Linked DNA regions of Danio rerio. The protein of the gene in region 1 interacts with the protein of each later gene in a pairwise test. Links are inferred from orthologs where the notes say so. Each region holds a gene or a part of one and is shown on either strand. Other genes may lie near its edges.

What was found.
Region 2: the proteins of slu7 (region 1) and ppil3 interact in binary tests that used the Homo sapiens proteins (3 or more experiments, as listed by UniProt). The link is inferred for Danio rerio from reciprocal best matches to the Homo sapiens genes SLU7 and PPIL3.

Annotation. Positions count from the first base shown.
Region 1 is NC_133189.1:50,631,607-50,635,437, forward strand, and holds part of slu7 (pre-mRNA-splicing factor SLU7), read left to right. Parts: intron 1-235; coding exon 236-389; intron 390-475; coding exon 476-556; intron 557-2,568; coding exon 2,569-2,733; intron 2,734-3,276; coding exon 3,277-3,345; intron 3,346-3,498; coding exon 3,499-3,528; intron 3,529-3,614; coding exon 3,615-3,740; intron 3,741-3,831. UniProt on the Homo sapiens protein: Required for pre-mRNA splicing as component of the spliceosome. Participates in the second catalytic step of pre-mRNA splicing, when the free hydroxyl group of exon I attacks the 3'-splice site to generate spliced mRNA and the excised lariat intron.
Region 2 is NC_133180.1:70,779,091-70,783,494, forward strand, and holds the start of ppil3 (peptidyl-prolyl cis-trans isomerase-like 3), read left to right. Parts: upstream 1-1,402; 5' UTR 1,403-1,478; coding exon 1,479-1,481; intron 1,482-2,849; coding exon 2,850-2,924; intron 2,925-3,034; coding exon 3,035-3,128; intron 3,129-4,404. UniProt on the Homo sapiens protein: PPIases accelerate the folding of proteins. It catalyzes the cis-trans isomerization of proline imidic peptide bonds in oligopeptides. May be involved in pre-mRNA splicing.

The DNA.
Region 1 (3,831 bases):
CATGTCTATAGCATGTTTGGATGTTGATGCATAAACTGTTTAATTTTCAAATGTTCAATTTTTAAATGCAATTTCAGACCAAATATTCAAAGTACTATGGTAAACAATATAGGGAGCGTGTCACAAGTCATCACTGAACGAATGTGCAAATATAAAACCAACTTTACCTCAATCATGTTTACTTGTCTTGCATGTGACTACTTTGATTTCTCTCACCATAATATTTTGTTTCCAGGGACATCAACCCTCATATTCCCCAGTACATCTCGTCTGTCCCTTGGTACATTGACCCTTCAAAGAGACCCACCCTTAAGCATCAGAGACCCCAGGAAGAGAATCAGAGCAAGTTTGCGCCCATTGGAGACTGGTATAAGAGAGGTGTACAAGAAGTAAGCCCTTCTCCTGCCTATATATTTATAAGCTTTAAAGACATTTAGTGTGTAAAACCCCTTTTCATTGCCCTTCTGTCATTTAGAAATCAGTGAACACGAAATACAGAAAAGGAGCATGCGAAAACTGTGGCGCCTTGACACATAAGAAGAAAGATTGTTTGGAGGTAAGTGGTTTATACAACAATGTTATGATACATGCATGGATAGGTTGTCATTACCAAATAATGTTTGGTTTTAGGTCATTAAATTGATTTTTAAACTTAAAAAAGAAACTAATGCATACAGTTATTTAACAAGTATGCAGTACAATTCATCAAAAGAGACACTTAAGACATTTTTTAGTTTCAAATAAAAATTATTCATTAGAGAATCATGAAAAATGAGTCACAGCCTCTAAAAAACATTAACCAGCAAAACTGTTTTCAACTGATTATAATACTTTCTGGTGGAGGTCTGAACCTAGACTGGTCTCACAGTTCGGTTACGATCATCATGACATCGATTCGGTTAAATTTGATATCACGGTGCATTGATGATGCTTTCCATTCACAATTTTATATTTTACTTTACAGCACAAGAATTCTTGTATTAAAATTGATAAATGCATTTATATATTATTTGTAATACAATTTTGTCCTTTAATACAGCAGTCAGATATATGAACTGTACCTTTACTTTTACCTGCTCAAAGAAAACACTCTTTTTAAATGTATCAAACAAAACTAAAGTATATGCACAGAGGACAACATGAGCATGTATAGCAAACAAACTAATGTATATATTATCGGATTATTACATATAAAATTGCTTTTTGAGCACTGTCGAGCGAGATTTGAATTGCCTATGATTGGTCACGCGCTCAACAGAAAGGGCTGCGATTGGCTTTAACGCTTTCGCGCTGTTCATCGATGAGTGACTGATAATCAGCACGCCAGTGCTCCCCACACATAGTCTTTACTTGGGCGGGCCGCCCAGGTATATTAATGGCACTTTTACTTAGAAAAACGATACTATATACTCGGAGACGACGAAATGACGTCTAAACTGGCTGCAAAATATATGTACACCCTTAGTAATGGTTAACCAACACATTTGCTTTGTTAAAAAAAAAGTACTCTTTTAATCTTGAAATTACGATCATTTTTAGAAATACTGTCTGTCTTTACTAACTTTTCTGTCATTTATTTCTCATTTGCTGATTAGTTTATTAATTTGATGATGTTAATATATTACATATGCTATTTTATATACAATTCTAAAATGCTTTGGCATTCAAATTTACTTTGAACTTGAAGGAGAGAGAGAGAAGCAGATTTGACCTGTCAGTGGGTGCACATGGCTCCTGATTTGGCTGACATGGCTTTTTTATTTCAGTCTTTTTTAAACAGCCTTTTTTTTACTTTAATCCATTGAAAAGAAACAGTGTCATAACAAATACAACTATTATTAACAATACAATTATGTTTTGTGGCATATATTTAGCTATTTATGTGATTTGGGTAAATGTTGTGTTTTGATCCGGCTACCAAAACCTCACTCTGCAAACACGCTCATGTCTGGATCCACAAGTATCGCTGTAACAGACGAGAGGAGAGGAAATGTTACCTCATGACAGCAGGCCAAAGGTCCAGAGCAAGAGAGAAAAGCAGAAAAGGAGTTTACAGCTTTCGCTTTCTCAATAGCAGTGGAATAGGGGCTTTCGCTGTAACTTCAGTGTCAGTAATATATTGTCCACCAAACTCACAAGCAGTGAATTGTGCACAGTTGTCTGCTTTTTAAGTAGTTGAAGTATTTTAATTACTCGCGGTCGCCTCCCTCGTCAGAGTAGGCTACCGCAATATAGCGCATAAGATAAATGACGTCAGTACGCAATAACCGGTTATGATTATTACTGAACCAATACCAAATTGTCCACGTCTACATCACGGTGTATCGAAGAAACAATTATTTTGACACCCCTACTTTCTGGAGAAGCAAATCAGCATATTTAAATGGTTTCTGAAAGGGAAAATGTGACTCAATTCAAACATGGCATCAAATGAATAAATTATAATTTTGAAAAAATATATAAAACTGAAATCATTTAGTTAAAATTGTAAATTGTTGAAATTGAGAAATATTTCTATATAATAATCTTACATTAAAATGAAATTATGTCCAAAAATGTTTTTCACAGAGACCCCGAAAGGTTGGAGCAAAGTTTTCTGGCACAGGCATCGCACCGGATGAGCACCAGCAGGTTCAGCTCTCGATGGATTATGATGGAAAGAGAGATCGCTGGAATGGTTATGATCCTGATGAGCACATGCGCATTGTAGAGGAATATTCTAAAGTGGATCTGGTGAGTCAAACATACTGTTGGATATGTTTGTGTGTTTATGTTCATTCCATAATAATGACCAGGGTAAGAAATGAGCGGATATAGACCATGATGATGCATTTACATTAACATTTGTGGATCTTATGTTACACAATTATAGTTTTGGCAATAGTCAAAATTATTAATATTTCCTTTATGCCCAAAATCATTAAAAATATTAAGTAAAAAATTATGTTCATTTGAAGACATTTTATGAATTCCTTACTATAAATTTATAAAAATATAATCTTTAAAGTGATTTTTCTCATTATTTTTTATTTATCTTTTTAAACCTTCTGATTGCAGATTTCAAATATTTTTATCAATCAAATTTTGTCCTATCCTAATAATGTATACATCTTATTTAGTCAGTTTTTTTTTGCTGTGTATCAGTTTCAATATAAATCAAAATGACTGGTTTTGTGCTCTAAGGTCACGTTTATTGATTCAGCAGATGTTTTTGAGCGACTTACAATCAAGGATAAAGGAAGCATGTCTAATTATTATCTAATTTTATCCCCACAGGCAAAGCGCACTCTCAAAGCTCAGAAACTCCAAGAGGAGTTAGCATCTGGTAAACTAATGGATCAAGCTGTAAGTCTTTACAATATACTTTATTTTCTAGATGTTTTTACACATTCATTTTTTAAGCATGTGATATTTGTCACGTAAAAATGTGTGCTATAAAGTTTGATTTGATTACATTTATTATCTGTGTTTATAATTCTATATGTTTCAATCTTGCAGAACTCACGAAAGCATGAGGAAGCAGTACAGGTATATATCATGATGTGCAGCTGGATTATAAAATAAAACTCAATGTTAAAAGCCACTAACTTGATTCAACTTTTTTCCCTGAACAGGACCACAGCAGTGAAGATGAAGATGAGGACAAATATGTTGATGACTTTGACATGCCTGGACAAAACTTTGACTCCAAGAGAAGAATCACAGTTAGAAACCTGAGAATCCGAGAGGACATCGCCAAGGTAATTATAGCAAATACAATTCTGGACGTGTTGTTACTCATTTTACTATAAATATGTTTACAATTTGATGAGCTAAAATAAACAACATTTC
Region 2 (4,404 bases), on another chromosome or scaffold:
AGTGAAGCTGGGATTAATTTGGGTCAATCTCTGACATGGTGCACGTAGTTTTGATTGAGAAAGTTTATATTCACACATTTGTTCGTTTTTAACAGTGACAACTTGTAACGCTATGCTGAATATATGATCTGAAATCGCACGCAAGTATGACTTCAAAACAACATTAGCACTATTTCATTGACTGTAAACACTGTTGTACCTTAATAGGCATGGCTGCTAATAATGTATGATCTCCCTGTTTAGAATAAGGAAAGAATACTTTTCTGAAATTAAAATTAAGATGAAAAAGTCTGAATGTGCGATTATAAAACCAACTTTACCTTAAAGTGGTTTTGTTTATGTTTTTTATATATATGTATACAGGGTTCATACAGTCATGGAAAACCTGGAAAAGTCATGGAATTTTGACATGGCATTTTTTAGGCGTGCAAATGTTTTGGAAAAACAGAAAAACCCACAAGGTTTTGGAAAAGTCATGGAAATTACATTTACATTTAGTCATTTAGCAGACTCTTTTGTCCAAAATGACTTAAACTGCGGTCACACTAGAGCTTGTACTTGCGAAATTCTGTCGTATGCGAAAAGGGGTGAGGTTAAACAATATGATCAGATGTTAATAAAACTGCGCGATTGCTCCATCTTTTAATTTTTTTTATTTTAGATTATATTCTATTGGTCTAACGCAATCACCTGCTGTGATTTCACAGGTAAGAATTCACCAAGCTTGAACTTTCGAATGCGAATGAAATGCAAAACTTGTCGCGCGTGCTTGTGTGTTCTGGTCTGCCGCCTTCGCATGCCTATAATTGGAAGTCCATGGAGCAAAAAGTGCAGTGTGATCGCGGCTTTAAAATAGATGTAGTTTACCTACTATTACTAGTTTAACAAAATATTAACATCCTCTTAAATTAATTTGACAAATATCGATATTTGTCAAACTAATTTAAGAGGATGTTAATAGTTACAGATCTGTGTGCTGAAATAGAGGTTAGATGTTTTTACTTCTTTTCTTGACAAAAAACATGGTCTCACATCATTACTGCTGTGTAAGCATCATCTATTTTATATAAAAATAAATTGAAACTAAAGAGATTGTTGCGTGCTTTATGATTTGCTGTAATAAATGTAAACGTTTATTGTTTTTCTTATGATTTATCGCGTATACGTAGACATTGCATGAAATATTAGGTCATGATGAAAATTGACTTGAAAGTCCTGGAATAATCATGGAACTCTTGTAGGAAAAATGTGTATGAATCCTGTCTTTATGTAGACTGATTTTATGTTTACTTGACTGCCGAACTGCAGACACTGAAACAGATCTATGAAGACGCGAGTGTGAAATGGGAACCATAGTTCTTAGCGTTAAGTACATTCGGATGTTTTACAGTGAAACACAAACACAGAAGGCGGTACGCTTGCTTGTAGCACCGTGCTGTTTGTATGAGCTTGCATCATTTTACTCGTCTCTTTAGAACATGGTAAGATCACTATTATACATTTATATTATTAACGTGTAAGTCAAGTGTTTTGAGTCGTTTATATTTTAGTCCACATATTAAATCTAACATTTTGCCGCTCTGAAGTTATTTGTTTAATGGACAGACTGACCTTACAGTGTGGTAAATTATTTTATTGAGAGAATTTTATTCGGTGGCTTGACGAACAAAAAACTTTTTTTGCATGTAGCTTTCAGTTTTTAGGTTTTTAGGCTTTTATCTGTAACTTTTGTGTTTAATTGAGGTAAAGTTGGTTTTATATTCGCACATTAGTTTAGTGACAGCTCCATACATAGTGTACCATACTTTGAATATTCGCACTGAAAACAGATTTAAATAGGGATTCAAATCAACATTAGCACTATTTAATTGACTATTTAATCTTTGTGAACAGTGTTGTACTTCATTAAGGCGAAGTTGGTTTTATATTAGCGCACATTCCGACTTTCTGATTTATATAATCTTAGTAAAGCATTAATGGCAAATTCTAAATAGGGAAATCATATCAACAGCCAACAACCATGGAAGTACAACACTGTTCACAGTCATTTGAATAGTGCTAATGTTGTTTTGAAGTCTTATTTACAGTCCGAATATTCAAAGTACCATGGTAAACAATGTATGGAGCTGTCACTAAGCGAATGTGCGAATATAAAACCAACCAATTTCCTCAATTGAAAACGAAAGTTGCAGAAAAAAAGTACAATTCAAAATTTATTTAGGATGTTTTCGAAAGACCAAAGCCCAAAAATCAACTTTACCTTAATTTGTACTTCGATGGTTGTTAGCTGCTGATATGATTCTCTATTTAGAATTTGCTATTAATGATTTACTGAGGTTATATAATTAATGAGAAAGTCGAAATGAGGGAATACAAAACCCACTTTACCTCAATATTCGGATTTCATCTTAATGTAATTTCAGAAGAGTATTGTTTGCAAATTCAATAGGTATTTGAATTTAAAGAGCCGACTTTTATTCATATCTATATTCTGACGTTGTTGTTTTTTTTTTACTGAGGGGTATGTTTATACATAATGTTACCTGCTCAAATTGAACAAATGTTATTTTCTAGCTGTTTTCTGAATTGAGGAGTTCAAAAAATTATTCCTAAAATCAGCTTTGTAAAACCAGGCTCTGATATGTTGAGGAAAATTATAATTTGAATTTATCTAATATTCTGATTTTTTTTTTTTGTGCTAGAAATATCTGGAGATTAGCTCATACTCAATAAAATAATGTTTGCAATACTTAATGTAGTCAGTCAGGCGGGGACCTATGATGATGATAACTATTAATTGAATAACAGCAATTTTATTGTATTAATAAGCTGATCTGATCATCTCTTAGGCTGTCACACTGCACACAGACCTCGGCGATATGAAAATAGAGCTGTTCTGTGAGAAAGCCCCGAAGAGCTGTGAAGTAACACTACTTTTTTCCTTGTTTCCACATACATAATATCGCTGTATTGCAGCCTTGTTGCTTTTGTACCATCTTTATTTTACATTAATTCCAATGACATTTCCCCCTAGAATTTCCTTGCACTGTGCGCCGGTGGGTTTTACAACGGCTGTATTTTCCATCGAAATATAAAAGGCTTTATAGTCCAGACTGGAGACCCAACAGGTAACTAATCTAAGATTTCTTTCTTTCTTTCTTACATTATGGGACATTTTTTTGTGATTTTATATAGCTTAAGGCAAATTAAATATAAGTGACTGTGTTATTGTTTAAAATAACTTTAGTGAACATATATGAGAAATAATGTTCTGTCTTCATGAACAATGTATTCATTCATTTTTTTATCGGCTTAGTCCCCTTATTAATCTGGGGTCGCTGGTTCGAGTTTGACTGGGTCAGTCGGCATTTCGGTGTGGAGTTTGCATGTTCTCCGCGTGTTGGTGTGGGTTTCCTCTGGGTGCTCTGGTTTCCCCCACAGTCCAGAGACATGCGCTATAGGTGATTTGATTAAGCTAATTTGTCTGTAGTGTATGCGTGTGAATGACTGTGTATGGATGTTTCCCAGTACTGGGTTGCAGCTGAAAGGGCATCCGCTGCATAAAACATATGCTGGATATGTTGGCGGTTCATTCCGCTGTGGTGACCAGGGGACTAAGCCGAAGGAAAATAAATGAATGGATTGTTATGCTCAACAGGGTTGCCAGGTTTTCAAAGCAAAAGTTAGCCAATGGCCAATCAAAACTCTCCCAATCCTTAAACTCAGAATTTGCCATTCTCGTAAGTAAAAATAATAATTTAAATCACTGAATGGATTAAAAAATATATAGTTTTTCTTTTTTTTATTTTTAATTACTGTATATTGGTATTGGTAAATATTCGTTTTTCATAAATAAAATAATCTTACCTTCAAATTGACAGCTGATAAAGCAAATCCTCCGGCTGGTTGTGGTTTTTCCTCTTTGAATATATTTTACATCTCTGTATGCATTACACACATTTTCTTTTAAAAACACTTTTATTAGTAATTATAAAGATTAAATGAAATATGCTGTTTTAGTCATTATTTAGCAAAAATCCAGGAGAGTCCTGCCAACTGTTACTATATAATCAAAAAAAACCTGGGAAAACTGCAGACTTGTCAACACTGATGCTGAATGACTCCTTATTCCGTGTCTTATAACTACTAGTGTCCAAGTTTGATCTACTTTTGGGCTTCTCAATACTTTCAGTAAAACAAAACAAGTATTTAAAAAAATGTGTAGAAGAATTACAAAATGAGAAGCTGAGTTACACTTTTACTTGAATTATCACTTTTAATTGAAATTAAGTATTAACTTTTTATATTGTCATTGCATCAGAATGGTACAAATGCTGACTGGTTTTGATGTTTGCCATGTAAACGCTAAAAATGAACACAATTCAAAAAGGTTAAATGTTCTGG